Linked DNA regions of Arabidopsis thaliana. The protein of the gene in region 1 interacts with the protein of each later gene in a pairwise test. Each region holds a gene or a part of one and is shown in the gene's direction. Other genes may lie near its edges.

Region 1 (17,433 bases):
CTCAAATTCTATATAGAACTCCGACTGAACCGAAAAAGTTATAAATCCAGCTCTACATATTACATATATAACCCATTCTCGCACAAGAGATAACTCAAGCTGGACCATGCATCCTCATAAGGTCATAATGCATAAAAGAAAAAGTCACAGTCTATGAAATGAAAATTTCTGAATGAATCATATAAAGTCCATATATTTTGTTCGTTATCCGTCGTTATAGTAAATGCTGCTATGGCGACCCACGTGGGTGTAGGTGTAGCCACTAGCCAGTTACATGCAAGTATGCAAATGCAATAACTTTTAATAATAATAATAATAATAATAAAATGAGAGACGTGTAGCTACGAGTGGACCAATTTTTATAGTAATATTTTCAAACTATGTGTTTAAGAAATCAAAGTCAACCGTAAAAGGTCGGTGTAGCAGGTAGCACCCCCACGCGATGTCGTCGACTCCACATTTTGAGTAAATGTTCTCTTCTGTAATATTTTAATTTCAAAGTAGAAAAATCAAATTTAGAAGTCAGTTTTTAGTCATTGTATTTTTAATTTTAGTCATTGTATTTTAACTTAAGTTACCTCTTCACATTCATATCCTACACTTTCTACATAAAAAAGCATCAACGATAAATCCATATTTCTAATGTTCAAAATATCTAAGATAATTTCATCAATATTTAAACACTACCCTAGTCGAAATAGTTACTCAATAATTTTGTATATTAACATGCCAACCGGTTTTTATAATTATATGTTTAGACTTTAGTCACTACATACGTGGTTTACCATCACCGGGTGAGATTTTTTTTCTTTTCAAATTGCATTGCGTTATTGAATATATAAAAATCAGTATATATTATATTGTCTCAACTCAACCAACATAAAAGGACAACCATTTACATACTATAGTACAAATTACAAGTAGAAGTAGCTTAGCTCAAGAATCATTTAATTTGAGACCAGCCCAGAGAACCCTAAAGTCAAGCCAGAAGAATTATACACGTAAAACATGTGTAAATAATAGAGTTAGTACTTACAATTTGTAAGCTTTACAGAGAAAAACGTGTTGAAATGAGTGGTCTAAACACACTATGTTAAGATGGGTCGGGTGTCTCACGAGACAATAATTTTGGAACTTTATATGATTTAACAGTACGATGAGCCCTACACATAACTTTCTCCAGTCAAAGACAGAGCATCTCTATTTCACTTGTGTCCAGCTCTTATCCATTACATTTATACCGTAGCTTCTTATTACTAATCTACCGCATTCAAAGATGCTTTTATATTAACTGTATACAATTCATTTTATGCGTATAGAAGTGATTTTATGCCCATAAAATCTAGAATTTATTTGTGCCAAGACCAAAACTTAAGGTAATTAGTCTTGTTCGGATCTTGAATTTCGGTCGTATTCAATTGATATCAACCAATAATGAAATTTCTGAAAAGATGAGATGACTTGGTCCACACGTCCCGAATGCCAAAGAAAAATCTAACTGTGTACGTATTTTTATGTATAATGGAAAGTTTGCATTAACGTGTAGTGTTTTATTTTTTTCCAACTGTGTACGTATTTTTATGTATAATGGAAAGTTTGCATTAACGTGTAGTGTTTTATTTCACGGAGTCATCATCAATACAATTGTAACTGGTTTGTTACCTATAATAAAATTAGTCTGATTAATAATTAGCTGTTCTTGAAAACTTATACTCCACACAGAATAATACTAAAAAATATCACTTCCTTAAATTTAATAATATGGACGAAATATGAATAGAAGAAAAGAGAAATTCACGTGCGTCTCATGTGAACACATTAACTCTATACTTTCGACGTTTCCATAATCAAAACAAAAAACCATTTTCAAATGACCAAATAAATAACAGTCAAAAAGTTTACAAAAGAAGTAAAATAAATAAATAAACGCAAACCTCAAAAAAAACAAAAAACAAAATCCAAATATAAATATACTCCTTTTGCTCATTTCTCCTTCCGACAAAACCAACATAAAACACAACCCAAAAATGGAGTTACTAACGACGGTCGCGAGCTTTTTCACTCCGACGACTCTTTTCCTCCTTCTTAATCTTATGATCGGTACAATCGTCGTAACCTCTCGACTCGGGTCAGGTTCAAGAAAACATTACCAGCATCACGATGGATTCGGGTCAGGTCATGCTCCGGCTCCGTTAGCTAGAGCTCCATCGATTATCGACCGAGTCAAGTCCATCAATTTTCATCTCTACAAATTTCCTCATCCAGAAACTGAGCTTTTCTCGATGACAGCTCACCACGACATAATCGGGTCGGATCTTCATGTTTACCCGGATCCAAATCCGGCTCCGTTACAACGTGCTCCTTCTCTTTTGGATCGGGTCAAATCTATCAACATGTCTTATTTCAAGTTCCCACACGACGTAACCGGGTCGGATCCTCACTCCCACTCCCACTCCCACCTAGATTTACACCCGGATCCGGCTCCGGCACCGTTACAACGAGCTCCTTCTCTTCTGGATCGGGTCAAATCCATCAACATGTCATACTTCAAATTCCAGCAGTATAACCCGGAGGAGAATGATTATGCTCATCACACAGAACCGACCCGATTCGAAAGTATTCCGACCCGGATGGGTCGGGTTGACCCGATTGATATCTCAAAATTCAGAATCCCGGAAGAAGATCAACCAACCGGAACCGGAGTGAACAGTCAAATTAACCCGCCCGGTTTAACTCGAGCTCCGTCTATCTTAGAACGGGTCAAATCCATTAAGCTATCCTCCTTCTACAGATCCGACCCGGATTTGGATCAAAAACAAAATCCGGATCCGGTTCTTCACGAGGAGCACAAGCATGTACGAAGCAAATCGGAATCGAAAAAACCGGTGAAGAAGAAGAAGAAAGCTTTAACGAAGATGACAAAATCGGCTAGCGAGAAATCAGGTTTTGGTTTCGCAGGAAGCCATGCGGAAGCGCCGGAGACGGTGGAATCCCTCGAACGGAGAAGACCAGATACAACGAGAGTCGAAAGATCGACGTCTTTCGGCGACGGCGAAGATGGCGTCGACGCGAAAGCTTCAGATTTCATCAACAAATTCAAACAGCAGCTGAAATTACAGAGACTCGATTCGATTCTGAGGTACAAGGAGATGCTTAAGGCCCATTGAAGCCGTCTCCGTCGCCGGTGATTATTGTATTCCTCGCCGATGTCTGGCTCGCGGTTTTGTTTGCCGCCGTTTTTCACGTAGGAGACAGGAGTGGACATTATCTGAATTACCGATAATATCCCTGTATGTTTGAGGATATTTAAGTAATTTATTAATTAGTTAATGTGAATTTGTTATTGTTTAGTTCATAAAGAGACAAGAAAGAAAAAAACGTAGTTGCTTAGCGAAGTATGTGTGGCGTTAAAATTGGATCTAGGACGTTGTTTTGCGTCTTAATTCTAATGATCATTCATTCACTTGGCAATTTTTTCGAGATGTTTGGTACACGTTTCCTATTTTCTGCCCTATTTTCAGGTTGGTTTATTCTATTTATTTAAAATTTTCTAGGCAAAATTGTTCGTGCCATGATACAGATTATATTAAGAGTTCTATTTGAATATTTTTGTACATATACAGATATACTTCCTATTTTGTATCATATATACTTTTAGATTATACGTGAAACTGTTAATGAAAATATTATAAGTGGACGACTGACCAATATTATAATTCAATTTATGCATGTACATGTGATTGCAAAATGTCAACAATTAGTATTTAGCAATACAAATAAAATGAAACTATTTATTTAACAAGAAATTATTTTAAGCTTTATAAATGATGTTTAGGGGAGCTATAATTACTTTGCTTTTTCTATAAGCAAAAGCAAAATATCATTAACACTCTTGTCATGTTTATACTTTTATAAACATTAAAGTATAAGGTTAAGTTTAAGAACATTAAATGATTCATTTAATACATATGTATATTCCATTACCGAACGTAATGTTCACTGAATGGATAATTGAAAGCCGATAAGATCAGATACTGATTCAAAACTTCAATTTTTTATAACTCAGTATTACAACAAGCAACGTTTAAGTAGAAAATTAAAACCAAAAACAAAACATTTGATATGGTCTAGTCACGACTTGAAATCACATTTTTAAGTTTTTTAACGTTATGGAAACACCGCAATAAAAACAATGTCATCAATCAGTTCTATTTGTTTTAATATAAGTTACGTGTCGAAGTACTTGTTTTAGTAGTGAATTTTTTTTTCAAGAAATTTTGTTAATCATGCATCTAGTTTCATTTTTGTAATACGTTATTATATTTTCATAGACTATGTGATAGACTTGGAATTATTTCAACGAATCCAAACTTGTAAGATAAGGCGTTGTAATATAGACTTTAGAATTTTAGTGATCCGAATCAAATCCATCAAACCATTCTTGGCCACGAAATTCAGACCTGAAATTTTTTATGTTTTATTCGTGGCTCGAAAAAGACTTTTTCGGTCATCTCCTGATTAAATTAATCCTCGTCATAATCATCACATTCATCCCTATCTCTTTAGGTTACGTTTTTTTTCTGTTTAACAAAACAATGTCAAACTTTCAATTCAACTTCGATTTCCTTTCTTACTATTTTAAAAATATGTTTCCTCTCTAACCAACACTCAAGTATTTTCTTCATGATGCTTTCAAAAAAGAATAAAACTTACAAATTACTTTAAAAAAAAAAGATTAATGTCTTCTTCCGTTGTTGTTGCTACTACCATCATTTAAGGTTTATCCATTGTTATTTTCCTCGATTCTTTTTTCAAGTTTCAACTTGGATGAGAAAATGAAAACAATTTGTTAAATGACCGAATCAATATACTTCTCTTGTTAAACTAAGTATCAAAGTCTGGGTGGTGTAGTCGGTTATCACGCTAGTCTCACACACTAGAGGTCCCCGGTTCGAACCCGGGCTCAGACATATCTACTTAATATAATTCCTTTCTTTATTTTTCGAACGGCATAATCATAACTTTCTAGATACTGATATCAAAGTAACGGGCTAATAGTAGAAGGCCCAATCACAACATAGAGAGTTACAGAAATCTAGGCCATAGCCCATTTAACTTACGTACACTTTTTAAGCCTTTCAACCCTAAATACGGTTGTTTTTATATGAAAGAGGACAGGAAAGGATCGCTTGGGGACAATACAAACTGTACCAGGAATAAAACCAAAAACCGGTACGAAAATGTCGGGACTCGGGATGTCCGGTTACGTCATATTCCCGGTTCTCGATGTTTGTTAGATTTTGTGGGGCTACACATTGGAAAGCTGAGAAGATAATATTCGATCGGACATTCATAGGCCGGATTACGTACACTCTCCCACTTGACTTTAGAGAACTCTAAAAAGATAATACGTCACTGTATCAAAGCATCTATTCTTGTTTGACAAAACAAACCAAATTAAAGAACAAAAATGACCCGAATTTAAAGTTCAAGCATAACTGATAAAAATAAACTTAGCCATTACGCTTACTTTTCATTCTTTTCATATCTTAGAAACTTAGCTTTTGATTTGAATTTTATTTTACAGTTTCTAAAGCATATGTTTTGATTGATGGCATATGTCTCTCAAATGACGATAAAACCCAAAGAAAAAATAATTAACCGATTGAACTTATCAAAGTTAAATTTATAATTTTTTCAAATTTCAAGATTAGACATTTTATTGTTTTTTACGATAAGAGTGTGAGAAAGTTTATCGTACCAAATCAATCACGTCCGTCAAAAGATTAGAAAACAAAAAAGAGAGATCGAAAGATATGAATAATGGCAGAGAATCCAAGTGATTAATCTTTGTTTCATAGAAAAGAGCTGTGAGGAAATTTCCAAGATCTTGGACCCACATTTAAGATTCCTTTATAACCATTTTCTTCAAAATCTTACCTGTTTTATCTCTAAGACACTTTGATTTGGTCGAAGATCGAGTTGATCTTGTTGTAGGATCCTGCCAATGTCTAATTAATGTCACATTCTCTTCCGACAGATTTCACTATCGTATAAAGCATGTCTTACGTGTCTCGTCTTTATCATGTCCATGACTGTTTGATTGTATCCGTATACAAAGACATATATGTCATTTGTTGTATGTGTAATGTGTCATGTATGTATTTTCTTCGTGGATGTACGCGAAACATTTCAGATTTAGACACCCCATGTTATATATATGATCGTTAAGTATTCTTTATTCGTTGACTGAGATATGCAATACTTTTCCGTGAGAACTATCGTTAGAGTCAATGGTTTTAGTCCGATATTTGTTTGTTTTTTTTGTTAATAAAGAGTTGTATGTAATGATTCAGAAACAATTGTTTAGCCAAGTTAACCATAATTTTCAGGGCTTTGAAATCAGAGATCAAGCGATCCGAAACAGTAGCAACATTTTGCTTGAGATATTGACGATTTAGAGTTAGTAGAGAGTAAATCTTAAACCATCGCTACTTTTCCAATTAGTTTTCTACCAACCATTTCATCAACCACACTAATTGTTCGAACAATAATTATGTATCTTCAGTTTTATCAAATCACATCCAAATTAGCGTATACAACATAAGAATATGTTCGAACAAACGTTTATCATTTTAAAATAAATATAGATATCTGAATATTATATAATAATATTAGTACGTTAATAGATATTTCGACTTTTAAATGGATATTTTGCTATAAACCATTTCAATGAAAACTATGTACAACGAAGAAGTGGTCCACTATACTTAGAATCCCTACGAAGATTTGCATGAATCTCCTTAGTCCCCACTTTCACTTTCCTTTTTCCTTTTATTACCAAACCAAATTATTATAATCGTATGGACTAAATTACCACATCCACATCACATTTTAAGTATGTTACTTCACAACTCAGTTTCTTCTTGTTTCTTGAAACTAGTAAACTAGTAATATATAGATTTTAATTTTACTCTCACCATATAAGAAATTCAAATCAATTAATGGCTTTCACCAATATGTAGATCACATGCTCCCTCTAGCATGAACCATATATCTTCAGTTTTGTATCTTGATGATATTATGTCTATATTAATGAAATATCAGTTACTAAAATAATAAAATATAAAATGTTGTGAATTTTTAGATCGCTACCATGCATACTTCTACATCACTTTGAATTTTTAACTCTCCGTTTAGTAGTTACGTTTCTCTATCTAAAACTAAAAATGTATATGCGTATACCTTTATTTTCTGAGATACGTATAACATTTTGTTACGTGTTTCAATACTTGCTTTTGTATGTATTGTCGTCAACTTGGTCGGCTGTGACCATCTGCTGTTGTACTTAATTTTGAAAACGTGGTTGTCGGAATGACTTGTTTCTATACTTTGGTATTTGGCACGTAATTTGGTAAATAAGCTAAGTAGAAAGTTTAAACATCTTTAGTTGGGTTTATTTAAAAATCTTATAATGTTTTTGATCCTATCTATACACTGGTATATATATATCATACATTCAATAATATGTGACGTAAGCCATATCATACAGTTGCTTAGTTCCACTCCCACTTAAACTCTAATCTAAATCTGGCTTTCAAAATTACTAATGCAAGTACTTATTAATACTAAAGATGATACGAATTTCAAAAGATTCAATGAATGATGTTATAATACGACGCATACAGCAATCAATTTATCTAGAAATTTTCACTCACGTGAAAACATGCATCGTCTATATATGTGTCTCTTGTAATTGTATAGAGTGTCTCTATAGCTACACAATACATATATCTTTTTATTATAATAACAAGTTTTTGGTTAATTAATATTTCGATAAATTAATTTCTTGCACACGCTAAGTTCTTAATTATATATCAGACCCAAAAGTTTCACAACCAATACTACTAGTTAAAATGATTTTTTTTGCTCAAGCCCGAAAGAAGTTAAACCTCCTAAAGGAAGCTCTAAATTTACTTAGATCGCAATAAAATTTGCCAATTATGAGAATCCATATCTTTCGCCAACCCATTTATCAAGAAAAGTACATTACTTATGAGGTGCGGCGCACATGCGTCTTGAATCTTATAATGATGAATGGATAATAATATAAACGAAGGGAACATATATGGAGCATGATGATGCATGGCCAAATAAAGGTTTAAGACAACTCAAATAGTAGTACTTATTTAATTAAATACAAAGAGATACGAATATAACAAAATGTGCCCACGAATTGAAATCATTACCCTAATTCCTTTTTTCTTTTGAATCTAATATTAAATTATATTTAAAAGAAAAAATAAACATTTATACATATACATGTAAACTAATTCCTTCTTTTTGATTTTCTCTCCAATCCAGTTCCATTATTACAAACGTATACAGCTCAACCAAATTTTAATGATTTGTCTTTTTATCTTTAGTTTTTTTTTTTTGGGCAAATCTTTAGTTTGTTTTAAGATAATAAAACTGAAGTAAAGGTCGCTGACAATAAAAAGAAAAACAATCGAGTGAAGATCTTCTAAATTGTCAAGTTCCAATTACGGGGCCACCTTATTGGGGGGTCATAATGAATGTCATTTTTATTTATAAATACTTTGTTTAGCACCGTTAATCAATGGTCGTTTTGTTCATAGTCTATACTCTATTTTCTCAAGTTATCGTTCTTAAATTATTATTTTTCGCGACATGAAGTTATAAAGATGGGAAAATGACAACTACACGTGCGTTTAGCACGGTTTTGCTGTCCGGGTACAACGTCTTATTGTTTATCTTATACATACAACATTTAATCCATAAAATTATTCATTCAATCAGAAAGAAGGATTTGGCAAAAGAATAAATTATTTTCTATAATAGTAGTTTATGAATATCAATTTTTTTTTTTTTTTTTTTTTGTTAAATTATAAATATCCAATTTTGTTAGATAATAGATTAATTTTAGAATTGCTAAATCCCCCTAATTTTATACCTATGATCAGGCCTGGCTATGATGTATTTTTTTGGACGTGAATTTTTATAGTTAGATAATAGATTTATTTGTAGGATCTACATATACATTTTTATATCCATTTTATGAAATAAATCTTAAAGTTAGAACTTATTTACAATGGCTGCCAATGGATTTAAATTATTTGATTTTTTTTAATTAATGGTTTGAATTTTTATACGACAATTAATTGTGTAACAAACCAAAAAGATTCTAAATATATGGCAATCCCATATGTCACGCAAAACACAATAATTTAACTTTTCCTTATTTTACCTACAATATTTACTAAATCTTAAAACAACCAAAATTTGAACTATTTGAATTATTTGTATTAAATTTCGGCAATAAATTAAAACAAATGTGAAACAAACCAAAAAATACATTTACGATCCCGGAAAATGAGCAAACCCAATTATATGTGCACCTAAAAACATTCTTTATTTTGGTTTGAATATTCCATAGAATTAATAGTCCATAACTTTTTCGGTATAAAATCATAATCAAAATTAATTCCACAACTAATATTTAAACTTATAAAAAAAAAAATATCATGAGACGAAAAATATAGCATGACGGATTTGGATTGATATGAAATATAGCAGGACTGTTTTAGAAACACAGATTCAATATTTATTTTATTATTTTATCATCACCAAATTTTTTAATTATAATATTAATATAAATTATATAATTTTAATATTAAACTAAAATCTTAAAATTTAATAATATTATTTATAAAAATAAAATATTTGCCCTGTGGTATACCACGAGTTAAATTCCAGTTGCTTAATAATATTCTGTCTAAATTCTAATTTTTGTTATAGCAAATGGAATTGGAGTGTTTTTTTTTTATAATTGCTTAAGTTCAATTCATTAGTAAAAGATAAAAAAAAATTGCAGCGACAACAAGTTAACATGTGGCAAAAGAAGCAAACAGAACAAAATCTTGAGGATATTCCATGTCTTGCTTTTTATCGTTTATTTACGGCACAATGATTAATTACGAATCTACAAAGTTTGGCCTACGATTGTTAATTTATTAGAATTATCGGCACTTTTCGATAGTCGCGAGGAAGGAAATTAAATAAATTATTCAGACCTCAGAAGAAGCAGATCTTGTAGATTCTTTTGATGATGACCTAATTGTGACAAGGAAACATCATCTAGTAGGGATATTAATGAGAAATATTCTTCAAAAAGAACATTAATATATGTAAAGTATTATAGGTCCGATTGTTTACAACAAGATCGTAAAATATATTCAACAGGTAGGAAGAAGAAAATAAAACTAGCTGATGTTGTTGAAGTTTACATACTATATGTGTATTAAGTTTTTGATTAGATAAACCCAGAAATTATTTAAAAAATTGTAAACTCAAATTTCTTCTTGTTATTATTTTAAAAACATCATTTACTCTTATTTACATGCAGATGGAAGAATTCGAGTCAAGTTTAACTCTCACAAAAAACCTAGCCAAGTTCTAATATAAGTGTGATCAATCCAAGGGTCAAGATTTATTGTCCGTGGGGAAATATCGTATATGGTGATCTAAGGCCAATCTCCAATCCCCATGATGATTATGGTACATGCTCATTTTTTTTTTTTGCTATTTCACAACTAATCACGGTTACAGTGATGATTATGGTGGTGGTGGGAATGATGATACATTACAACATTATGTTAGTTTTAGCTATTATATCAGTTAATCAATTAATTAGTTTCATCTATAATATTGATAGACTTATATACATTTGATTACTCTATATAGTTTGTGAAACATTAACATGGATATCTATTCATAGGATCCAAACTGCATAATCTGAATATCAAAAGAAGCTACATTTTTTTTTGCTTAACCTCAACTGCAAAACCTCTTTGAGTCACAATATGAGAAATTACTACAATACTACAGAAACTATTAATGTAGTAATGTACAAAATGGACCGTGGAATATTTATGCAGAACCATTTAACTAGTGAGCGACACCGTGCGTGTTCAGACAGTTACAACTATTGCTTTTGTGGTCTATTGAAAGTTTGAAACCAGTGGTTTGCTAATTAGATTCTCACGTGACTTTGATCATTCATTGTAAATTTTTGTAATAAATTAACAAAAACATGAACGCGTATCGTGTCATACAGAACTTATATCATACATACTCTTTTAAATACGGAATTGTATAATTATTATATCAGCTATCTACTTTACTCGGGTCAACTGAATTTTTTTATTATAGGAATATACAGAAAATAAAATTTAGTTAAAACAAAATAATTTGTTTCAAATAATCTAAACTCTTCAATAATTAGTAGTTACTAGTTATATACAGAGAAGATACTAGCTTGCTCACTGATTTTTCATTTTTTTTTACACAAACAAAAAACAAAAAATCCGTACAATACATGTGTCTGCATGCGTGTCTATATATATACAGCTACTACTCTTCATTGATAAGAATCAAGCTATTCATAAAATAAAAAGACTTATTTCTCAAAAAAAATGGCGAGTTATAATCTTCGTTCACAAGTTCGTCTTATAGCAATAACAATAGTAATCATCATTACTCTCTCAACTCCGATCACAACCAACACATCACCACAACCATGGAATATCCTTTCACACAACGAATTCGCCGGAAAACTCACCTCCTCCTCCTCCTCCGTCGAATCAGCCGCCACAGATTTCGGCCACGTCACCAAAATCTTCCCTTCCGCCGTCTTAATCCCTTCCTCCGTTGAAGACATCACAGATCTCATAAAACTCTCTTTTGACTCTCAACTGTCTTTTCCTTTAGCCGCTCGTGGTCACGGACACAGCCACCGTGGCCAAGCCTCGGCTAAAGACGGAGTTGTGGTCAACATGCGGTCCATGGTAAACCGGGATCGAGGTATCAAGGTGTCTAGGACCTGTTTATATGTTGACGTGGACGCTGCGTGGCTATGGATTGAGGTGTTGAATAAAACTTTGGAGTTAGGGTTAACGCCGGTTTCTTGGACGGATTATTTGTATTTAACAGTCGGTGGGACGTTATCAAACGGCGGAATTAGTGGACAAACGTTTCGGTACGGTCCACAGATCACTAATGTTCTAGAGATGGATGTTATTACTGGTACGTACCACGATCTTTTTCACACAGAGATTAAAAAAAACAGTAATAGTGATTTTAACTTCGTACGTTTCTGATAGACAACAAAGAACTTCGTACGTTTTTCGAAGTTTTTTCGTCTTTTTCATTTTAGATCTGCGCGGCCATTTTTGGTTATGCTATTGTTTGTTTGTATTGTTTGTCTCTGTTTATTTATTTCTCGAACTTGTTGATAGCTTTTCTTCTTTTCACACATCAATCTAATCACCTTTTTTGGTCTTAAGATTAGAAAGAAGATACGGACTAGGTAAAAATAGGTGGTTGTAAACGTAGACGCATTAAAAAAATATTGGTTTTTTTATTTTTTGATAAGCAAAATTGGTGGTTGGTCTAAGATTATAAACTTGATATTAATGCAAAGGTCGATCTAGCAATAGAAGATTAATCAATATTCTTGGTGTTTTAACAACAGATTATTTCATCATTAAAATCGTGAAACAAAGAAATTTTGGTAGTATACATTACGTGTAGTTTTGTTAGTTTATTAAAAAAAATAGTATATAGTTTTGTTAAAACGCGATTTATTTAGTAACACATTAGTATATTACACGTTTAACCAACTAAACTTTTTTTTTTGAATAATTATGTTCTATATTTCTTACTCAAATTATGCAAATTTCGTGGATTCGAAGTCAAATTTCTGCGAAATTTACATGGTCATATATTATAAAACTGTTCATATAACCCGGTGAACAAACAGACAATTAAGGGTTTGAATGGTTACGGCGGTTGGGGCGGACACAACCGTCAATAGATCAGACCGTTTTTTATTTACCATTCATCAATTATATTCCGCAGTGGTTTGGGGTAAAAAAAATAGAAGAAAACCGCAGCGGACCAATTCCATACCGTTTTTACATACAAATAAACATGGTGCGCAACGGTTTATTGTCCGCCTCAAAAATGAAATGGACTAAACCGCAGATAAATTAGACCGCTTTGTCCGCTGCCTCCATTCATAGACTAAAAAAAAACAACCAAAAAAAAAATGGTCCCACGCCCATGATTTTACACGAGGTTTCTTGTGGCGTAAGGACAAAACTCAAAAGTTCATAACGTTTGGTCCTAACCAGGTGTAATGGATTAAGTAACAGTCAATTTTCTTATTATAGCTGTATCCATTATGTCCACATATGCATCCATATACATTACACTGTTGGTCTCAAGTGTAGTTAGATTACGAAGACTTTCAAGTTCCATTTTTTGGTTAGGAGATAAACATAATTTAATGATACCGACTTTAGCACTCTAGGCTCAAAACAAGTACAGAAGAGAATAGTTTTATTTCAAACTCGTTGCATTGTTGTATCAATTAATTGTGTTAGTCTTTGTATATTCTTACATAACGGTCCAAGTTTGTTGAAATAGTTTACTTACTAAACTTTTCCTAATGGGGTCAAATTTTATTTTATAGGAAAAGGAGAGATTGCAACTTGTTCCAAGGACATGAACTCGGATCTTTTCTTCGCGGTGTTAGGAGGTTTGGGTCAATTCGGCATTATAACAAGAGCCAGAATTAAACTTGAAGTAGCTCCGAAAAGGGTATGTTAAATTTGTAAATTATGCAACTACAGAAAATTCTATGAAATTTATGAATGAACATATATGCATTTTTGGATTTTTGTAGGCCAAGTGGTTAAGGTTTCTATACATAGATTTCTCCGAATTCACAAGAGATCAAGAACGAGTGATATCGAAAACGGACGGTGTAGATTTCTTAGAAGGTTCCATTATGGTGGACCATGGCCCACCGGATAACTGGAGATCCACGTATTATCCACCGTCCGATCACTTGAGGATCGCCTCAATGGTCAAACGACATCGTGTCATCTACTGCCTTGAAGTCGTCAAGTATTACGACGAAACTTCTCAATACACAGTCAACGAGGTCCGTACATACATACAATCATAAATCATACATGTATAATTGGGAGATCTTTATGCATTATTCAATTATATTAATTTACTTTAGTTATTTAACTTATGCAGGAAATGGAGGAGTTAAGCGATAGTTTAAACCATGTAAGAGGGTTTATGTACGAGAAAGATGTGACGTATATGGATTTCCTAAACCGAGTTCGAACCGGAGAGCTAAACCTGAAATCCAAAGGCCAATGGGATGTTCCACATCCATGGCTTAATCTCTTCGTACCAAAAACTCAAATCTCCAAATTTGATGATGGTGTTTTTAAGGGTATTATCCTAAGAAATAACATCACTAGCGGTCCTGTTCTTGTTTATCCTATGAATCGCAACAAGTAAGTTTAACTCGATATTGCAAAATTTACTATCTACATTTTCGTTTTGGAATCCGAAATATTCTTACAAGCTAATTTTATGCGGCGTTTTTAGGTGGAATGATCGGATGTCTGCCGCTATACCCGAGGAAGATGTATTTTATGCGGTAGGGTTTTTAAGATCCGCGGGTTTTGACAATTGGGAGGCTTTTGATCAAGAAAACATGGAAATACTGAAGTTTTGTGAGGATGCTAATATGGGGGTTATACAATATCTTCCTTATCATTCATCACAAGAAGGATGGGTTAGACATTTTGGTCCGAGGTGGAATATTTTCGTAGAGAGAAAATATAAATATGATCCCAAAATGATATTATCACCGGGACAAAATATATTTCAAAAAATAAACTCGAGTTAGACGATAATTAATCCTATTGTTAGTCGTTCTCACCACTTTGTAAATATTCCTTTCTTTGTTATATCAATTTTTGACAGAAAAGTATATACCACAATTTCACGTGAATTGGAGATTTTTGGCTATAATTAAGAACACGAAATTAAAGAATAATGTTATTAAGAAAATGGAAATTGATAGGAAAGTAAAGGACATGATCATAAGATTTGAAAGTAAGTCTAAATGTGAAAACTATCTTTTTGTGAAGAAAATGTTGACATATCTATAAATATATAATATATTTAATTAAAGAAATAGGGAATAATTATGTCCAAGAAATGTCCCCAAACCTTTTTGTTACAGTCTGCGGGAAAGAAGGAGACATCCACACTTCTTGCCTCCTTTCTGTTTTTATTTTTGGCTTAATTTTTAATATATATTTTTATGTACTTTGAAGATCTTGGTCGAACGCAGTCCACGTATAATTGGTTGGATTAGAATCAGATTTCTTTTTCAAAAACTCTGATTTTCTAGACATCTGATATTTTGTGGTAAGATTAATAATTATCGATTTTTTTTGTCTCAATTGTTTTGTGTTAAGATTAAGGGATTAATCCACATTTACATAACTTGTATATTTTTAGAATATTTTTCATTAATGTCAAAAATGAATTCATTAGTGCATATTCTTGATTATATTGACTAATATAACCCGTATAAACTACTACATTAAATAAAGTAAAATCAAGAAAACGACAAAAACGTCGTGAAAAGTGGAAAGCATATGATGAAAGTTGCAGCCGCTAGCTTTGTGATCCGAAGGAATCTCCAACCTAATTTTTAATAGAAAGTGTCTAAGTACCGAATATTTAAATAGTGTAATCTAAACTGTATATTATGTGAAAAAGTTGGAACAATTATTTTATAACGCAAAATCTCATTGTATCATTACTAAAAATATAATCATGAGATTCCTTTGTATATTCGTGTAAAATACCATCCCAAAATTTATTTGTATCATTTTATATTTATTTAATATCAATATAAATTAAAATTAAATTAAATGTGAAAATTATAACAAAAAAAGCTAATTTTGTTTTTGTGTGGTGAAAAAACATTTCAATAAGATTTTACTTACTTCGTTTGTTTAGGAAAGATGTTTAGAGATGATGAAAAAAAAAAGGAAAGATGTTTAGAAATAGATGTTTCAATTTTTCATGTGATATCATTTTGGAAATGTCAGTTCATAGGCCTCTAATGTTCAGCCCAAATATTAATCGTCGAACTCTGGGCCTCATATTACCACTACGTGCTGTTTTTGAACACAACCGACACGCTGTTCGTTATCAGAAATGCAAAACGAAAGAAAGCAAAGCAAGTGGCAATTTTGCCGCAATGCGGCATTGACTCATAGTCAATAGGAGTTGACCGTTCTTAATATTTCCAACTGATTTTCTCATGCAAGAATTTAAATACAAAAAACGTCTTATTTCATTTTTTATGTTATAATAAATTAGATATAGTTTATTATAAATTTATAATGCTGAATGTTCTTAAATCGACTAAGAAAAAATAAGAACACCGCTACCGTCGAACGGTCTAATGCGCGATGTCATTATTATGTTTATACGTAGAGAGATCACTAACATTAATTTACGAGACTACATGCAGATGCAGGTCGAATATTAAGCAAAACAAAATTATAATTATTAATTAAGAAAATTATCATGAAAACTATTTTTAGGAAAAAATATCATTAATTTTGGTTCACATTGTTGTCTCAAAGTCCAAGTGCATGAGATTTAACGAGTCTTGTCGTCATATGACGAAAGAAACATGCATTTAATTTACTCGTCAAGAGAAATGCTTTCAATTAATTGATACAACTTGCTTCAAAGCATTTTGTGGTCGGGCAAACTCTTAAATTTGTACGATCGAATATTATTCGTTCAATCAAATGTGGTTGTGAAAGCGTTCCACCAGTTACTGTTTTTTCCTTATGTACACATGATTAATCGATAAAATCGCAAATGATATGGTACCACACGCCAAAAAAATAAACATAAAACAAAAATGATATGTATAACAATAAATATAAATCCAATTACTTGCTCCCGATTAATTTCTAATCGTTATGGTCCACACGTACGTACGAATACGTTTTTTTCTTGTTGAGTCACATACTAATCAATGTTTTCATTTTCAATTTATTTTTGAAAGATAAAATTATTTCCTTATGTACGAAGAAAATAGATCAGAAATTTCTTGATGTTTTCTTCATCATAAGGAGTCGAGATGCCTAACTTGTTACATTTTTTTTTTCTTTTCACTGTTTGAAGTTATAACAATAAAATAAATAAATTATATATAATAGTCTAGTCGTCATATGACTCATATCGTGTTTTTTTGTTCCAAACCAAGATTTGATTTTTGCTGGACATATCTCCTTCCCGGATAAATTAAAATTAACATTGAAATAGTAAATTCCGAATAACAGTCCCGTCTGAATCATGTTTTGAATTTCTGCAATTATAGTAAAAATGGATGTTTATCAACAAGTACCATATACTTGAGAAAAACAGTTGCAAGTTCTAGAAGCTTGTGGATTTTGGCTATATTATATTAGGTAGGATTGTATGTATATTCTGGGCAGGAAACAT
Region 2 (16,747 bases), on another chromosome or scaffold:
AGGAAGAAACCAGCTAGGAATCCTCCAAAATGAGCAGAATTGTCCACACGTGGTAAGAATCCGACGCTTAGATTCAGTACAATGATCAGGATTAATGTCATAAGTGCGGTGCACTACAAAAAAGTTTGAGATCAGCTTTCAATAATGCACCATATTGAAAATGAATAATCTTTTTACCTTATTTTCATAGATTGTCCAGTTTGTGATGAGCTCTGAGAGCATTGCACCGAGTAATCCGAACAAAGCACCAGATGCTCCGACTGATACCCGTTCTCCTTGGGAATCTGTTAAGCAAGACACCAGGCTTCCTCCAAGCCCGGAGATCACATACAAAGCTCCGATTCTCACTGTAACACCAAACTCTTAAATCAGATCACAGAAAATTCAGGAGACGGAAAATAGAGGGGTTTAAAGGGTCTTACTGAATCCAAATTCTTGTTCAAGGCGCATTCCGATACACATGAGGCTGATCATGTTAGCCATCAAGTGAAGGAAACCACCATGAAGCCATATGCAAGAGATGAGACGCCATCTCTCACCTTCCTCCACAAGTCTCCTTTCGAGAGCTCCGAGTTTTCTCAGCCTGAATCAACAACAAAGATGCATTCTGTAAGTATTGAACCAGTTTTTAATAGATTCCTTGTTCTAACCGGAGAGAAAAAAACCATTATGGAATCAAGAAATCCTTCCTTACGTGGGAATAGAAGGACCGAGTAGCATATTCTCCTTAATCGGTTGAAACGAAAGCCTTCCAAGGACATCAAATAAGAGACACTCATCTGATCTTGCAGGGCAATCGTTCACATACATGGTGGTAGCGAATGTGACGAAGTTGGCTGCTAAAATGAGAGGCACAAGCCACGCAACCCATGGCACGGGAATGGGCGGGCGAAAATGTGGTCGCGCTGGTGGTGGTGGTCCGTTTTCGATATCTGGTGGAATCGGCGGTCTCTTCCCCATTTCTGGAAAAGAGTATCACGCGCGTTTGCTCGTTAGCTTTTTGGTTGAGGTTTGAGGATTAGATTGGACCGATAAACTTGGGGAAAATTGTGAAGCTGAGAGAGAGATCCGGACTATCTTGTGGCCAAAGTAAGAGCTTTTACTTTCTCTCTCTCCCTCGCTCTCTCTCTTTTTTTAATTACATTAGGCAGTTATGTTCGGTAAATCTGTTTGGTACCAAACAGATTCCTATCAAAACCAGGTTGGAAATTAAAAAAAAAAAAACCATTGATATACCTGGAAATGTAATTCTCATGTGTATGTTGTCTGCAATAATTAAAATGCTTGCCAACATTAATCTATTTTTAGTTATTTTTTTCTGTGACCGATTTACAATCATTAAGGAATTTTTGAGAGCGATTTTAGTATCATCGTTAATCAGTAATCTCGGTCATTTGGACACGTAGCAATAGTCTTAAACTCAAAGCCAGTTTTTTGTTTTTTTTTGCTTCATCTTCTATTAATATCACAAAAACATTCAGCAGCTACACACACAAAGTAGCTTCCTTCTCGGATCAAACCTGAATTCTTCCAAACAAGCTTCTCTCTCAATCTCTGAGAAATTTTGCAGGTAGTTTCGTTTTCTCTCTTCTTCCTCTTCTCTGCAGATCTTTTTCCTTTTTAAAACGTTTATCTTGGAGATCACATATCGTCTGGTTTCTGGTATTCTTGTTGTGAAGCAAGTGGGTGTATAAAATGTTTATGAAACTCATAAATACTTTGGTTAAAGTTTAAACATTCGTTATATGATTGCAGTATGTAATTTCTCAGTGTTTTGCTTGCCTCTCAAACTGTTTCTGTGATTCGATTTTGTTTTGATGGAGATCAGTTACTTGAGATTTAGAGTTTCTTCTGTTTCCTCGGACACTGATTACGGTTAATGACTTTAGCTTGTAGATTCGTCTCTCCCTGCACATAAATTTACTTTACATTTTTAAACGAAAAATATTGTTTACAGGATCTGTAAAATGTGAATTTACGTATTTTGGTAATCTAATGTATGAGTTTTACTAATATTGTTATGATGTTACAGGCGGGAAGAAAAAATGGAAGAGTGTTTGTTACATGGAAGATTGCACGCGACAATCTACGAAGTTGATCATCTCCATGCTGAAGGAGGTAGATCAGGTTTCTTAGGATCGGTATTGTCTTTTGTCTCTCTCTCATTTATAAGTTGTTTAGAGATACAACAACAAAAGGTTTCCTTCAATCTGTCTTTAATGTTCTGTTTTTAATCTTTCCAGATACTAGCAAATGTAGAAGAAACAATCGGTGTTGGCAAAGGAGAAACTCAGCTTTACGCTACAATCGATCTTGAGAAAGCAAGAGTTGGAAGAACGAGGAAAATAACAAAGGAGCCAAAAAACCCAAAGTGGTTTGAGTCTTTTCATATTTACTGTGGTCACATGGCTAAACATGTTATTTTCACTGTTAAGGATGCTAATCCGATTGGCGCGACGTTGATCGGAAGAGGTTATATTCCTGTGGAAGATATTTTGCATGGAGAAGAAGTTGATAGATGGGTTGATATCTTAGATAATGAGAAAAACCCAATTGCTGGAGGATCAAAGATCCATGTGAAACTCCAATATTTCGGTGTTGAAAAGGATAAAAACTGGAATCGTGGTATCAAAAGTGCTAAGTTTCCAGGAGTTCCTTACACATTCTTCTCTCAGAGGAGAGGCTGCAAAGTTTCTTTGTATCAAGATGCTCATATCCCTGGAAACTTTGTCCCGAAAATCCCTCTTGCGGGAGGGAAAAACTACGAGCCACATCGATGTTGGGAGGATATTTTCGATGCAATTACTAATGCTAAACACTTGATTTACATTACTGGTTGGTCTGTTTACACTGAGATTTCTTTAGTGAGGGACTCGAGGAGGCCAAAACAAGGAGGAGATGTGACTGTTGGTGAGCTACTCAAGAAGAAAGCTAGTGAAGGTGTTAAGGTTATTTTGCTTGTTTGGGATGACAGAACATCAGTTGATTTGCTGAAAAAAGATGGACTTATGGCTACTCATGATGAGGAAACTGAGAATTTTTTCAGAGGAACCGACGTGAACTGTATTTTGTGTCCTCGTAACCCTGATGATGGTGGAAGCATTGTCCAAAACTTGCAAATCTCAACTATGTTCACTCATCACCAAAAGATTGTTGTTGTAGACAGTGAAATGCCGAGTGGAGGATCAAGATCCAGAAGAATAGTGAGTTTTGTTGGTGGTCTTGATCTTTGTGATGGAAGATATGACACTCCGTTTCACTCCTTGTTTAGAACGTTGGACACTGCCCATCACGATGACTTCCATCAACCGAATTTCACTGGCGCTGCGATAACCAAAGGTGGTCCTAGAGAGCCATGGCATGATATTCATTGTCGTCTTGAAGGACCTATTGCTTGGGATGTCTTGTATAATTTTGAGCAGAGATGGAGTAGACAAGGCGGTAAAGATATTTTGGTTAAAATGAGAGAACTCGGAGATATTATCATCCCGCCTTCTCCCGTTCTGTTCTCAGAGGATCATGACGTGTGGAATGTTCAGTTGTTTAGATCCATTGATGGTGGAGCAGCTGCTGGATTTCCTGACTCCCCTGAAGCTGCAGCGGAAGCAGGTCTTGTGAGTGGAAAAGATAATATAATTGATAGGAGTATTCAAGATGCTTACATTCACGCGATTAGACGAGCTAAAGACTTCATCTATATCGAAAACCAGTACTTCCTTGGAAGCTCTTTTGCTTGGAGCGCGGATGGAATCAAACCAGAGGAAATCAATGCTCTGCATCTGATTCCGAAGGAGCTATCTTTGAAGATTGTTAGCAAAATCAAAGCAGGAGAGAAGTTTAAGGTCTATGTTGTTGTTCCAATGTGGCCTGAAGGGATTCCTGAGAGTGGATCAGTCCAAGCTATATTAGATTGGCAGAAAAGAACAATGGAGATGATGTACAAAGATGTAATCAAGGCACTTAGAGAAAATGGACTTGAGGGAGAGGATCCGCGAGATTATCTGACATTCTTCTGCCTCGGTAACCGAGAGGTCAAGAAAGATGGAGAGTATGAGCCTTCAGAGAAACCTGAACCGGACACTGACTATATCCGAGCACAAGAAGCACGCCGCTTCATGATCTATGTTCACACTAAAATGATGATAGGTGAGTGTTTTATAACATTTACATAATTTATAACTTTTCAATACTAACCAAATGATTCAACATCAAAATTTTCGCAGTTGACGATGAGTACATTATAATCGGATCAGCAAATATCAACCAGAGGTCAATGGATGGTGCAAGAGACTCAGAGATAGCAATGGGAGGCTATCAACCATATCATCTCTCAACAAGACAACCAGCTCGAGGTCAAATCCATGGATTCCGCATGTCTTTATGGTATGAACATTTAGGAATGCTCGATGAAACATTCCTCGATCCATCGAGCCAAGAATGTATCCAGAAAGTCAACCGTGTTGCTGATAAGTATTGGGATCTTTACTCAAGTGAGTCACTTGAACATGATCTTCCTGGTCATCTACTTCGCTACCCGATCGGTATTGCTAGTGAAGGGAACATCACTGAGCTTCCCGGATGTGAATTCTTTCCCGACACAAAAGCTCGTATCCTCGGTGTCAAATCTGATTACATGCCTCCAATTCTTACAACCTAAGCTCAGTGGCAGTAATTATGGGTAATAAATAACATTTTATCCTCTTTCTTTTGCTGAATAAGTTACAAAACCATTAGCCCTATCCTATTTAGAGCCTAATAAGTTATTTTTTCTTGGTTTTGGTTTTTCATTCGGCTACTGACGATTCAGAAAGAAGAGAATATTTAGTAGTTGTTTCGTTTGTCCGTTTTGATACTTGTTTTGTTGCTAATTACTGTTAAACTCAATGAATTTATCTATTAATCATATTTTATGCTATGTGAAACTTGTAAGGGTGAAATAGATCGTTTTCCAAAAATATAAACTGAGATCATCATTAAAATATATAATGATTTTTTTATATATAAAAAACATTGTTGAGATCAACATCATGTATGAGTGAAACTTGGTAAGAACCATTGAACTTTGGAGAATAAATCCGTTCTGGTTTCTTGAGGAATCCTGATGAATAAACCTTGAAAACCCCGAAGGACAAGGATCGATCCCTAGCTCTATACCATCTTTCAACCTTGAGGACATTTCCTGTTATGGTGACTACAAGTTGTGTGGCACGAATGCTCCATGACTTACTTTGTAGACGAAGTCGTCTACCTATCCGAAAGAGTTCCACTCGAACACAAGATTGAAATGTTTGTTGTGGAGTCTCTCCACGAGGTATCTGAAGGCTCATACTCCCAAACATTTGGTTCCACGAGGTACCATCTTTCAATCTGAAGTTTGGGGGATTTGGTTCCACGAGGTATCTGAAGGCTCATACCCCCAAACATTTGAACATGCATATTAAAATTACGAAAATCATATTAATATTCATAGATATATCATATATGCATGTTCTGATGGGTTAGTCCGGTCTCGTTCTGACACAATCGGTTCAACTAAAATTGATTTACAATGTTTGGAGACTGTCAAATCTTGAAATGTTATGGATCAGTCTATCTCTTTGGTTAACCACTATATGCAAAAGGAACAAAGACAGGTTTAATGGATTTATTCGATCCTACTTGGCCCGTTTCCGGTAAGATGGGTACTATACATGTATCAGATTGGACCTCACCTGATTATGATTTTTTCCAAAAGCTCAGAAAAATAAATCCGATTTTGACATAACTGGATTAGGGAAGTCCACAAATTTTTGGCGTACCAGAAACATCACTAATCTTGGATAAGTGTGAACATATAAAAGGAAGAAATTTAGTTAACATGTGTGGTTGACGTTATTTAGTCCATCAAAGTCAAGCAACCATGTGACGATCTCTTTCTTCTTTACGTTCTATCAAAACTTTAAGACCTTAACTTCTTGTGATGTCTCTCTCTTAAGTAGTTTGTGTTTAAAATACAACTAGCCGTAAAATGATAGCTTCTTGAATCTATACGAATAATTTAATTTTGCAATTTATGTATCACAAATTATATACTATAATATACTATAAGTATATAATTTGTGATACATAAATTGCAAAATTAAATTATTCGTATAGAAAAACGACTAAAAGAAAAACTCTCATCGAAATTACAAACTCCTTTTTTGTTAACCGAGGAATCTCAAACCAAAACAAGACTAAACCTTGTAACTTTTTTTTTTTTTTTGTTAAAGAAATAGTATTAGAATCGTGATTTGAATTGCAGTGGGAAAACTCCAACTCCTCTAACGCGTTAGATACTTAGAATGAATCCTTCAACCACTAAAAAGTCTCGACCATCATGAGTTGGTTACAATTACAAAAATTTTATTTAACTCTAATTAATTCCAACAGTTTCTCCACAAATTACTTATATATAATCATTCATGTTGAAAGTTATGTAGAACAAGGAAACAAATATAGATAAGAAAGTCTTTTTTTTTGGGTAAAAGAAAGAGAAAGAGAAGTTGGTCTAGTCTTCTATATCACAGTCAAACAATTGAAGAAGTTTCGAAAGAGTTACATGTTGGCTTCTATAATTGGCTAGTTAGTACTCTTTTCAATCTCATGCAAAACATGTTCGTACCGTATTTGATTAGGTTTTTATGTACAAAACGCGGCAATATTAGGTTTTGAAACAAGACACGTGGCAAAAGCCCATGTTCACGTAAACACCAAGGTTCTGGATCATGTTGAATGATAGAGATTTGTGGAAGAGATTCATTGAACTCTTTAGAATCTCTCTCACTCAATGCCTTGTCCTTCTTATATTTCTCTTCATCACAATTTTTATCTCCCTGATTTTTAGTTATTTGTATTAAACGCGTAAACATGCAAACATATTTTTTTCAAAAAGAAAACAAAAACTTTCAAACATAAATAAATATAAATACTCTCCATAATTTACTACTAATATTATCTTGTATTGTTTATACAGCTGTGAATTTTTCATATTCCCCTTTGATTTTTTCAAAAATAGACAACAATCTGGCAATCATTCATAAGAAATGATTGAAAAGTAAAATTAAACCACGTGCATAAACCAATTTTTAATTTAATAGATACGTTCAAGTTCTGAATTAATATTTAGTTAAAGTTATTTCCTTACCTTTTAAAAGATAAACACAAATAATTTGCACCAAAGTATAGTATTTAACAACTATTAAGAAAGATAGTGCTTCTGCATTTTTTACTTTAATTTTTGTTTCTAAATAAGTGTGGTTAAAAGACCATAATTTGCAAAAAGCAATGGATGTTGTATGTATCACTCTTGTCCTAGCTTTCTTACCAATCTTTTAAACTATGATTGTCAACATGAAGCTTAGTAAATTTTTTGGAAGGAAAAATAATTAAATTAACTATGATTTTTTATTTTTTAAACAATTTTTTGGTAAAATTTCTACTCTTATCTCTACTACTTAAATGTATTGATCAATGAAAACAATTATATAATGTTTTAGTGCTATTCTAAGGTATTTCATATTTAATTATGGTGGGAAATTTGATCATATTTGTTGACAAAAGTTATAAAATATTTCTCTTTATCTTACTCTTATTCATAACAACTCTAGACACTGAATCTAGTTATAAATATGGTCAGAGACTAAAGACAGTCAAGATTCAACTATGAAAGAAGTTTTTTTTCCCAATTTCCACTTGATTTTTGAGCCTGTGACTTAAACCAAACACCAATCTTTTTACACACCAACTCCCTCTTTAACTTTTTCCAACAGAGTACAGCACACAAAATAACTTCCAACTTTTCTATTATTGTCAGAAAACATTTTTTGCTAATTTCTCACAAACTCATTTCTCAAATAAATAAAAAACTTTCTTCTTAAATTCTTATTGACAAGAGAGATCTCTCACCGTTCAACTTCAAACAGTACTCTCTTGTGGTACAAGTACGAAAAATCTCTCTGCAACATAACACATGCTTCTCTTTTTTTCAACACACACATATTCATCATTCATCAGAAACTTTCTCTTTCTCTCTTTCTCTTCTGAATCTTTTATCTTTCAAACACTATGACTTGTATACTAAGCTGTTCTCATGGCGTCGTGATCGCAACCGCCATGGTTTTCTCAAGCACTGCTCTGTTTCTTGCGATTTCCCGCCAATTTTCTGGAAATCAGACATCAGATCAACAAATCCTCCGTTCTTGTCTTTCTTCAGGTACCCTTTTCCGATCTTTCTTCTCCGATCATCCTCCGGCTAAGAATAATTTTTGATGCAGAGGAAAAGAAGAAACAGAGGAAGAATAAGAAGAAGAAAGTGAAATTTGCAGAGAATGTGAAAGAGACGAAAGGTAACGGTGAAGAGTATCGTAAGAAGAGTCTTCGGCGAATTGTACCGGAACAGATGATTAAACCTGAGAAAACCGGTTCGGTTTGTAGAAACGACATGCCTGCTAACCGGATTGCATTGTACAATGGGATTCTTAGAGACAGAGATCATCGAATTCAGTGCTCCTATTGACTTTTTTTCCTTTTCTTCTTTACCAGCAACTATGAAAATGTAGAAATGAAAAGAAAAGTAATTATAATTAATTATTGTAGATAATCACAATTAGCTTTTCGGATGATTCTCTGTATGTAATTTTAGGTGATTGACATGTGAAAAATACTAAATAGAGTTTTTAGCGACAAGAAAAGAGTAAGAAATTTAAAAGACTCTTTCTACATTTGATTATTATAACTTTTCTCCCACATGAAAAAACATATTTTTATATGTTTAAAAGGTTAAAAATCAGCGAAATTATGTTTTTAATCAAGATTAAGACTTAAGAAAAGAAAAAAAAATACTGTTATCAGAAAAATTAAATTAATGCTATCAAATTTGAGAATCTTTGTATAGAGATATGATTTTATGTTTGTGGAACCATCAAGATATTATAAAATTCTTGTTAAGAGTCCAAAATTCTAGTTATAACGTCGAAAACTTCACGATCAAGTGTTATCACTCTAAAGTCTTACCAAATACTGTTTTTTTGTCGTTTATAACATATAAAAATTTAATAAAAGTTTTACAATATTATTATGGCTTTTTTATATATCTAATCAATGTTTTGCATAAAGTGAAGAATAGTGTAAGCATGATTGTATATATTTCGAATATTCGACCAACGACTAGACAAGTAGACATGCACACATAATCAGTGATACAACTTTAGTCTTTAGCATAACATTTACCATATAAAAAGATTAGGGCTTCAACAGATAACACATGAGACATGTGAATGATCAATTGTTAGTAATTAGTATTCTTTACAAAATCGAGTGTTTCTTGTATATATTGAGGCAGAAAAATACAAGACTCCTGGACAAGAAGCCATATTTTGACCAATACCAATTTTTAACTCAAGTCTAGCCACATGTGGGGTTTGGTGAACCGGAACAAACCATAATGGGTCACTGTGTAGTCTGTAAACGAAACAAACCGGCGGTCCAAATTGCTAACCGCCAAAACCACGTGACGGTCCAATCGAAAATTATACGTTTCTTGTCTAATATTTTGACTAAATTATTGTAATTAACTATGCTAAATTTCAAAACTAATCGGCTTCATATTCATATATCACTGATTTTTTTAAGTTATGTATACCAAACTAAATAAAAATCGTTCACAGTGTTTTGGAAGTAATTTGGACAATCTTGTTCGAAACTTATTGACACAATCGGGAGAAATAATGTATTACTAATTAGCTATTTCTTTTTTTCTCACCAGAAGCTTACCTACTAACCGTAACCTAACTTACAATTAGTTTTTGAAGTATTTAATTTGGTTAAATGTAAAGGAGAATAAAACAAAAACACTGAGAGGGCACTTAAAAGCCAACAACGGTCCAAAGATGGATAAGGTCGGTCCAAAAGCTAATAATTCGACAATACTCTGGACACATGGGCTTTTTTGGTCGTAACCGGTCCCATTTCTGTTCTTAGAGAAAATCAGAAACGGTTTTTAAATAACAAAGTAGATTGTAGTTGCAAACCGAAAGCATGGTTCGTGCCTTTGCACTATTATTTTCATTTCATCCCTTTAATTAATAGCTTGTCATCAAAATGAAAGGCAAAACTTTTACTAATTTGTGTTATTTGTGAGCGTACAAATAGAGGATCCAAACCGGTTATATCTATATTTCAGTTCTGATAAATAAGATGAAAGAATAACTTTTCAATCGGCATGGAGGAATCTTTTGATCGCTTTGGAAGCAATCTTGATAGTTGGCGTTTTTGTTGTGACGGCTTGTTTATGGAAATGGGCTTTGACATGCGGGGTAATTGTAGTTGCTTGACACATAGCCTACTTGATTATGATTTTTGAATTTGTCATTCGTGGTCAGAGTCGGTCCAAAGACTAATCATGTTTAAAGCTCAACAAAATTTGATGTCCATTTACAACAAATAAAAATAGAAAATTGTTTTAATATTTTCGATTACCAAGGATCGAACCAATCACTTTCTACCTTCAAAGCACAGAAAACCAATAGATTATAAGACGTTTCATAAAATTTGATGTCTTTTAAAATATATATAAAATTTGCTGTCTAAAGCATCTATTTGCTGTTTACAAAAAAAAAAAAAAAAGCATCTATTTGCTGGGTTTTATGTTCCGGCCGGCCTTCAAGACACCGCAAGCTTGTGGATAGCGATGGTTTTCATCATCATGCTGTGGTTTATATTCATCTCAAAGTAGGCTTTGACATGCGGGGTAATTGTAGTTGCTTGACACATAGCCTACTTGATTATGATTTTTGAATTTGTCATTCGTGGTCAGAGTCGGTCCAAAGACTAATCATGTTTAAAGCTCAACAAAATTTGATGTCCATTTACAACAAATAAAAATAGAAAACTGTTTTAATATTTTCGATTACCAAGGATCGAACCAATCACTTTCTACCTTCAAAGCACAGAAAACCAATAGATTATAAGACGTTCCATAAAATTTGATGTCCTTTAAAATACATATAAAATTTGCTGTCTAAAGCATCTATTTGCTGTTTACAAAAAAAAAAAAAAAAAAAAGCATCTATTCGCTGGGTTTTATGTTCCGGCCGGCCTTCAAGACACCGCAAGCTTGTGGATGGCGATGGTTTTCATCATCATGCTGTGGTTTATATTCATCTCAAAGTAGGCTGCAAAAGAGCGGGAGAACGGTCTATTCCACTCCAAACTTAGTTACTTTATCGTATCCATACATAGAACTTTGAAGTATGCTTTTAACTATATGAACTAACTTATAATTTGAATTTACTACATAAACAATCAAAATATGGCTGAAACCAACAAATCAATAGATGCCGTTAGTTAAACCGTTAATGTAGCTGACTAGGATGCCACATGGATAGACTTTACAAAAACGAATCTAAACAACTTAAAAGACGTCGTATCTGTGACATCTACTGTCTCTTGAACTATTGTGTTCAAGGGACAGTAGATGTCACAGGTTCGATATGTTTAGATTCGTTTAGATTCAGTTTACTTCTAAGAAAAATATAATATTTTTTTTTAAAAACATATATTTCATCAAGCAAACCTGAAATAGCCAAAAAGATTTTTTTTTAAAAAGCCAAAATAAAAAAGGAAGAAAAAGGGTTCCATAACAAGAAAAGAGAAGAAAATTAAAAGGCTAGTGACTAAAGATACATTTTCATAATAAAAGAATAAAAGAATTTAAAAAATGTATATGAGCAAATCATAAGCAAAATATAAGTATTAAACAATATCAAATAGGTTTAAATTAATTTTATTACACAGAATAAAATAATTAGTAATCATCAATAATACTAAAAACATATAGTAGTACAAATAAAAACATAGTAGTACAAACTCACGGAGGAAACGGGTGTCTAACGTAATTAATTTTTCGATTCAAACCAATGATTCATCGCCTAAGATTTTTGTGCCGGTCTAGCGACACAACCCACATATTTTTTTCAAAGTTGATTTATAAAGTTCTATGAGTTGTAAAACATTATTACCTTAGCAAAGAGAGACCTGCGGAAGAATCTGGATGTTGTACAAATATTCAAATTTCCTATATTACCACCTCGTTTACAATTTATTAATGGTTATGATATATATGTTTGTGACTCAGTTGCTTGTTAAGTATGAACCGTCAATAATTAAAAAGTCATTTTAGTAGAAAAACAAAAAAAATGTATAATTGTATAACAAGTTAGCAACCCACATATGTTGCAGAGTTGATTTATAAAAAAAGATTGGGGACAGAGTTACCATTAGAAGTTTGGATCGAAACAATTGTTTTTTTTTGTTTTTGATAAAATATTGATCGACACAATTGTTTGACATTCATTTAATGTTCTTAACACAAAACCAAAATCCATATGACTATATTTATATTAATTATGTTGTTAGTTTTGTTGAAATAAGTTATCCAAAAACAAATTTCAAGAATAATTTGAAAGATTTTGGGTCTTTCTACTTTCTAGGAATTGCAAGGTCAAGGCGGTTGGTCTTGTGTCATGATTTTCTTCGTTTTAACTATTCAAAGAAAACAAATATTGATAATAAAATAACCTTGTTGTGATTATCTAGAAAAAGGGCTGTAGAAGAAACAAGAAGCATCTCTGTTTTATGTTCCCAAATGAACCAGAAACTCTTAGAAACTTCTAACACCTCTTAGAAACCAACCTTTTAGCATAAACCCTAATCCCATCTTTATAAACCAAACACTTCTTGCCTTTTTCTTGCAAACTCACAAAAAAGAAGACAAGAAGACAAAAATTAAGAAATTTACCGATTTGAAAACAATGGCTCTAGCTCGTCTGGCTTTGAGAAACCTTCAACAAAAACTGTCTCCTAGTTTGATGGGTCAATCTTGTGAAAGAGGTTTGGTCGGAAATCGACATAATCCAATGAAGCTAAACAGATTCATGGCTACTTCGGCTGGTGAACAAGAGGATAAGATGAACACAGAAGTGAGTGTGTCTGAGAAGAAATCTCCTCGACAGAATTTCCCCCGGAGACGTGGCCGAAAAAGCCTCTGGCGTAACACCGACGATCATGGCTACTTCACTCCCACCCTAAATGGTACGTTTGTCATTTTAGTTCATTATTGATATACCTATTTAGCAGAAAATTTCAATAGTGTCACAATAATAATATTTTCGAAATAAATTATATAAAAAAAATTCAACATTTAAGTGTAAAATATATCCCATAAAAGAAAAATTAAGAAGAAAATTTGAAATTCTAGAATCATAAAAATACATCAAATTTTAAATTTACATTTTCATTGCATTAAATCTCATGAAACATAATTAATGTAAACCTCTATTTTTGCTTGAATTGAATTTTTTCTTCTTCTTAAAACAGAGTTCTTTCCTCCGACTATAGGAAATACTCTGATACAAGCAACAGAGAATATGAACAGAATTTTCGACAACTTCAACGTGAATCCATTCCAACTAATGGGTCAAGTGAAAGAGCAAGACGACTGTTACAAGCTCAGATACGAGGTTCCAGGGCTAACCAAAGAAGACGTGAAGATCACGGTAAATGATGGAATCTTGACGATTAAAGGAGATCACAAGGCGGAGGAAGAGAAAGGCTCACCTGAGGAAGACGAGTACTGGTCTTCAAAGAGTTATGGTTACTACAACACGAGCTTATCGTTGCCTGATGATGCTAAGGTTGAGGACATTAAGGCGGAGCTCAAGAATGGTGTGCTTAATCTTGTGATTCCTAGGACGGAGAAGCCAAAGAAGAATGTTCAGGAGATTTCTGTTGAGTAGAAGAGATACGGTGTCGTTTTTGTGTTCTTTGATGGACTAAGCAAATTAATGTTGTACCTTTTTTATGTTTATGCGAATGGAATCAGTTATTAAGTTGCTAATTAACTTAGTTCATTTGCGCAAACAAAAGAAGCTAGAAAATACATTATAGACTAATTGAACAAGCAAAGAATGAACCAGTTTTGTGTTTGTAATGAGAATGGAATAAATTGTTATTCAGCATAGTTAATTTTCGCAAAAGAAAGAAGCCAAAATTAATTAAAAGAAGCAGCAAATGTTGTGTCCCTTTTATGTTTTCTATGCGAATGGCTCAATGGAGTAAATTGCTAATTCACGTCATGAACACAAAAATGTTGATATATTAAACAAGAAGTCCATTTTTGTACCTCATATCAAAATTTTATTTGTAAATTTTGTATTAATAATTGTGGATTTGCTATACTATACTATGAAATATTTTTCTTTATAGACAAGTTATGTTATACATTAAATTATTTATTTATTAATAAGTACAGTATTTTAGTGTATTGTCAGAGTTCAGTTTCTTTAAAGAAAACACAATATTTTTTTTTTTTGTCGTCAAGAAAACACAATATTTATGTTAAACAAAAATGCATGATATTTCAATAGTTTGTGGAAAATTATAGAAAATATTTCATTTTCCTTCTTTTAGTTTGGTATTAAGAAGGAAAAAACCAAAAACATTTTTTTGATAATGTATACATAAATTAAAATTAAAATAATGAGAAAACAAAACAAGGTCCAAAATACCTTGTGAAGAAAATGGCGACGGCGTTTGCCAACACGACTTCAAGCTCCAACCTTTACCTCCATCGCTGCCGTAAAAACCATCCTCTTCCATCTCCGTCGTTCTTTTCACCGTTCCGGTCGTCTCCACTTCCTTCTCAGACCCTTTTCCTCGTCCCCACTCCAAAACCTGTACGACGCATCGCGGTCGCTCCTCTCGGCCCTCCAACGCCGCCTAGTCCCGACCCACCTCCGCCTAAAAACACGACTGAGCTCACAAGTTCGTCTTTCCCTTCTTACCCTTAAAACTTCAATGTTTCAACTCTGAGTTCTGATTTTGTTTACTGCCAATTCTATTTTTCAATCTTTCCTAATTCGATGAAATTGCATTACGGAATTCGAATTAGGAGAATGAAGGTGGTTTAACTGCTATTGATTCGTAGATAAAGATGTTAATCTTAGTCCTCAAGATCGATTACTGTTCATTGCTAAAGTTTTGATCTTTGTGACAATTTATAGACTTTTACTCTTGTTAAGCATTAAGGATTTATAAATCTCCTCCTTTTACAACTTGTGAATGTCTTCCAAAAGTTCCACCATTTTCTTTTCCCTACAGGTTTAGTCATTGGTTGCAATACGAGAGCAATCTTCTTAACAATTTGGATTCATAGTTGTTGTTTGGTATCACATTTTGTGTAGGTCTTGTGGGAGTAGCGTCGATGATTCAAGACCGTGTAAAGATCTTTCTTTCAGTACTAATTTGGATCTCTCTCTTCTTTTGGGCTTCGGCTTTACAAGGAAGAGGCAGCAAAGGTAATGGTAAAGGGAAGAAGGGTTCACGCTTCAAATAGTATTAGTTAGATTGGTGTGGTGATGATGATGATGATTGATGAAAACTCCTCTACACGTTTGTGTATATATACAGAGGAAATATTCTTCCAAGTAAAGCAAATTTCTTGTCAGACTACAGTTTTATACTAGAAACTAGATTGTTCTCTTCTTACGATATCTCTAGCTTAGAGCTATAGAGATTACTCTACTGTGATGAAACTAAAGTAGTTTGCATTTAAGTCAAAATGCCAAATCAATATCATTGTTTATTGAAAGCTGTTTCAGATTGTAAATGACTAGATGTGTTTGGTGTGTGCTTGATTCAGCCAAACGGTAAACCGCACCGTTTCTTTGATTTGAATGTTTGTTGTATAAAATGGGCCTTTAGATATGTTATATAACTTGTTTGGGCTTCAACATACTCTTTTATTGGGCCTCTCTATATAATATAATATTTCCAAAGTTGTATTTAATTATTATTTGATTTATATTTAAAACAGTGGTTGTTTATTCATGATATGAAAAAAGAAATAACTGGATTTAGGTAAACCTTATTCAATACTGGGACAATGAATTAACCAGCTCATGATTAGTTGGACCTGTTTTGGTTAAAGGCTGGTAGTAAGTTTAGAAACAGAAATTTATGATAAGAGCCTAACATTTTGTTCTGACCACACTGAGTAATTTAACAATCTATCTAAATTAAGATTTTATGCTATGTTTAATTTATATTTGTTCTGATTATAGCAAATAAATTTCCATATCTAGAGATCTTCTTCATACACAATAAAAAAAACTAGTATTTGAACTTTTGTATGTATTAAAAATTGCAAGATTTTGTAAGTACAGATTCACCAAGGTGAGGTGTGTGATTAGGAAACTTTGATTAGTTGTCATGTGTCATCAACAGGCCATGAAAAGGAAATCTTTGAAATTCAAAAAACAATACCTTTTGATGAAATTATTACTATATAAATACTATATGTGACTATGTGTGGATATGCACAATCATTCCCACTAATAGTTTAATAAAGTGTATAATTTTTTTCAAATTAAAACAGCTAAACACACACAACCACATTCAAAAAGGGGTTAAGCATTGAAGAATATTCTAAGAAAATTTGTTTCTCTTCTTACAGAAGTAAAAGCGACTCTCTCTCTCATTAAGCATCAAAGGAGTTTCGTTTTTCTTGCTTTGCTGTTACATTCTTCAGGAAAAAGGCGTTACCTTTACTCTCTCTGCATCAACGAGGAAGCGTGTAGAGCTAAAGGAGCTGAATTTGAGAGATTTTTTTGTTTTGTTTCTGGGTTTGTTCAAAGATGCAAATTTTTAGTTGTTTCTGCTGTGGAAAAGG

The links.
Region 2: the proteins of AT5G56980 (region 1) and AT1G52550 interact in a protein complementation assay, tested with the Arabidopsis thaliana proteins (one large-scale study listed by BioGRID).

What each region holds. Positions count from the first base shown.
Region 1 is NC_003076.8:23,042,308-23,059,740, reverse strand, and holds AT5G56980 (cotton fiber protein), read left to right. Parts: upstream 1-1,998; 5' UTR 1,999-2,027; coding exon 2,028-3,167; coding exon of another isoform or gene 3,168-3,265; 3' UTR 3,266-3,661; downstream 3,662-17,433. Other genes in the region: AT5G56985 (uncharacterized protein), read right to left, coding at 2,837-3,265; CKX3 (cytokinin oxidase 3), read left to right, coding at 11,496-12,105, 13,556-13,683, 13,769-14,029, 14,131-14,399, 14,494-14,797.
Region 2 is NC_003070.9:19,571,850-19,588,596, reverse strand, and holds AT1G52550 (uncharacterized protein), read left to right. Parts: upstream 1-14,537; 5' UTR 14,538-14,597; coding exon 14,598-14,841; intron 14,842-15,260; coding exon 15,261-15,412; 3' UTR 15,413-15,842; downstream 15,843-16,747. Other genes in the region: RBL5 (RHOMBOID-like protein 5), read right to left, coding at 1-113, 178-347, 423-583, 695-960; PLDALPHA2 (phospholipase D alpha 2), read left to right, coding at 2,046-2,141, 2,244-4,146, 4,224-4,657; AT1G52565 (cytochrome P450 family protein), read left to right, coding at 8,086-8,233, 8,295-8,536; AT1G52560 (HSP20-like chaperones superfamily protein), read left to right, coding at 12,831-13,110, 13,396-13,814; AT1G52540 (Protein kinase superfamily protein), read left to right, coding at 16,713-16,747.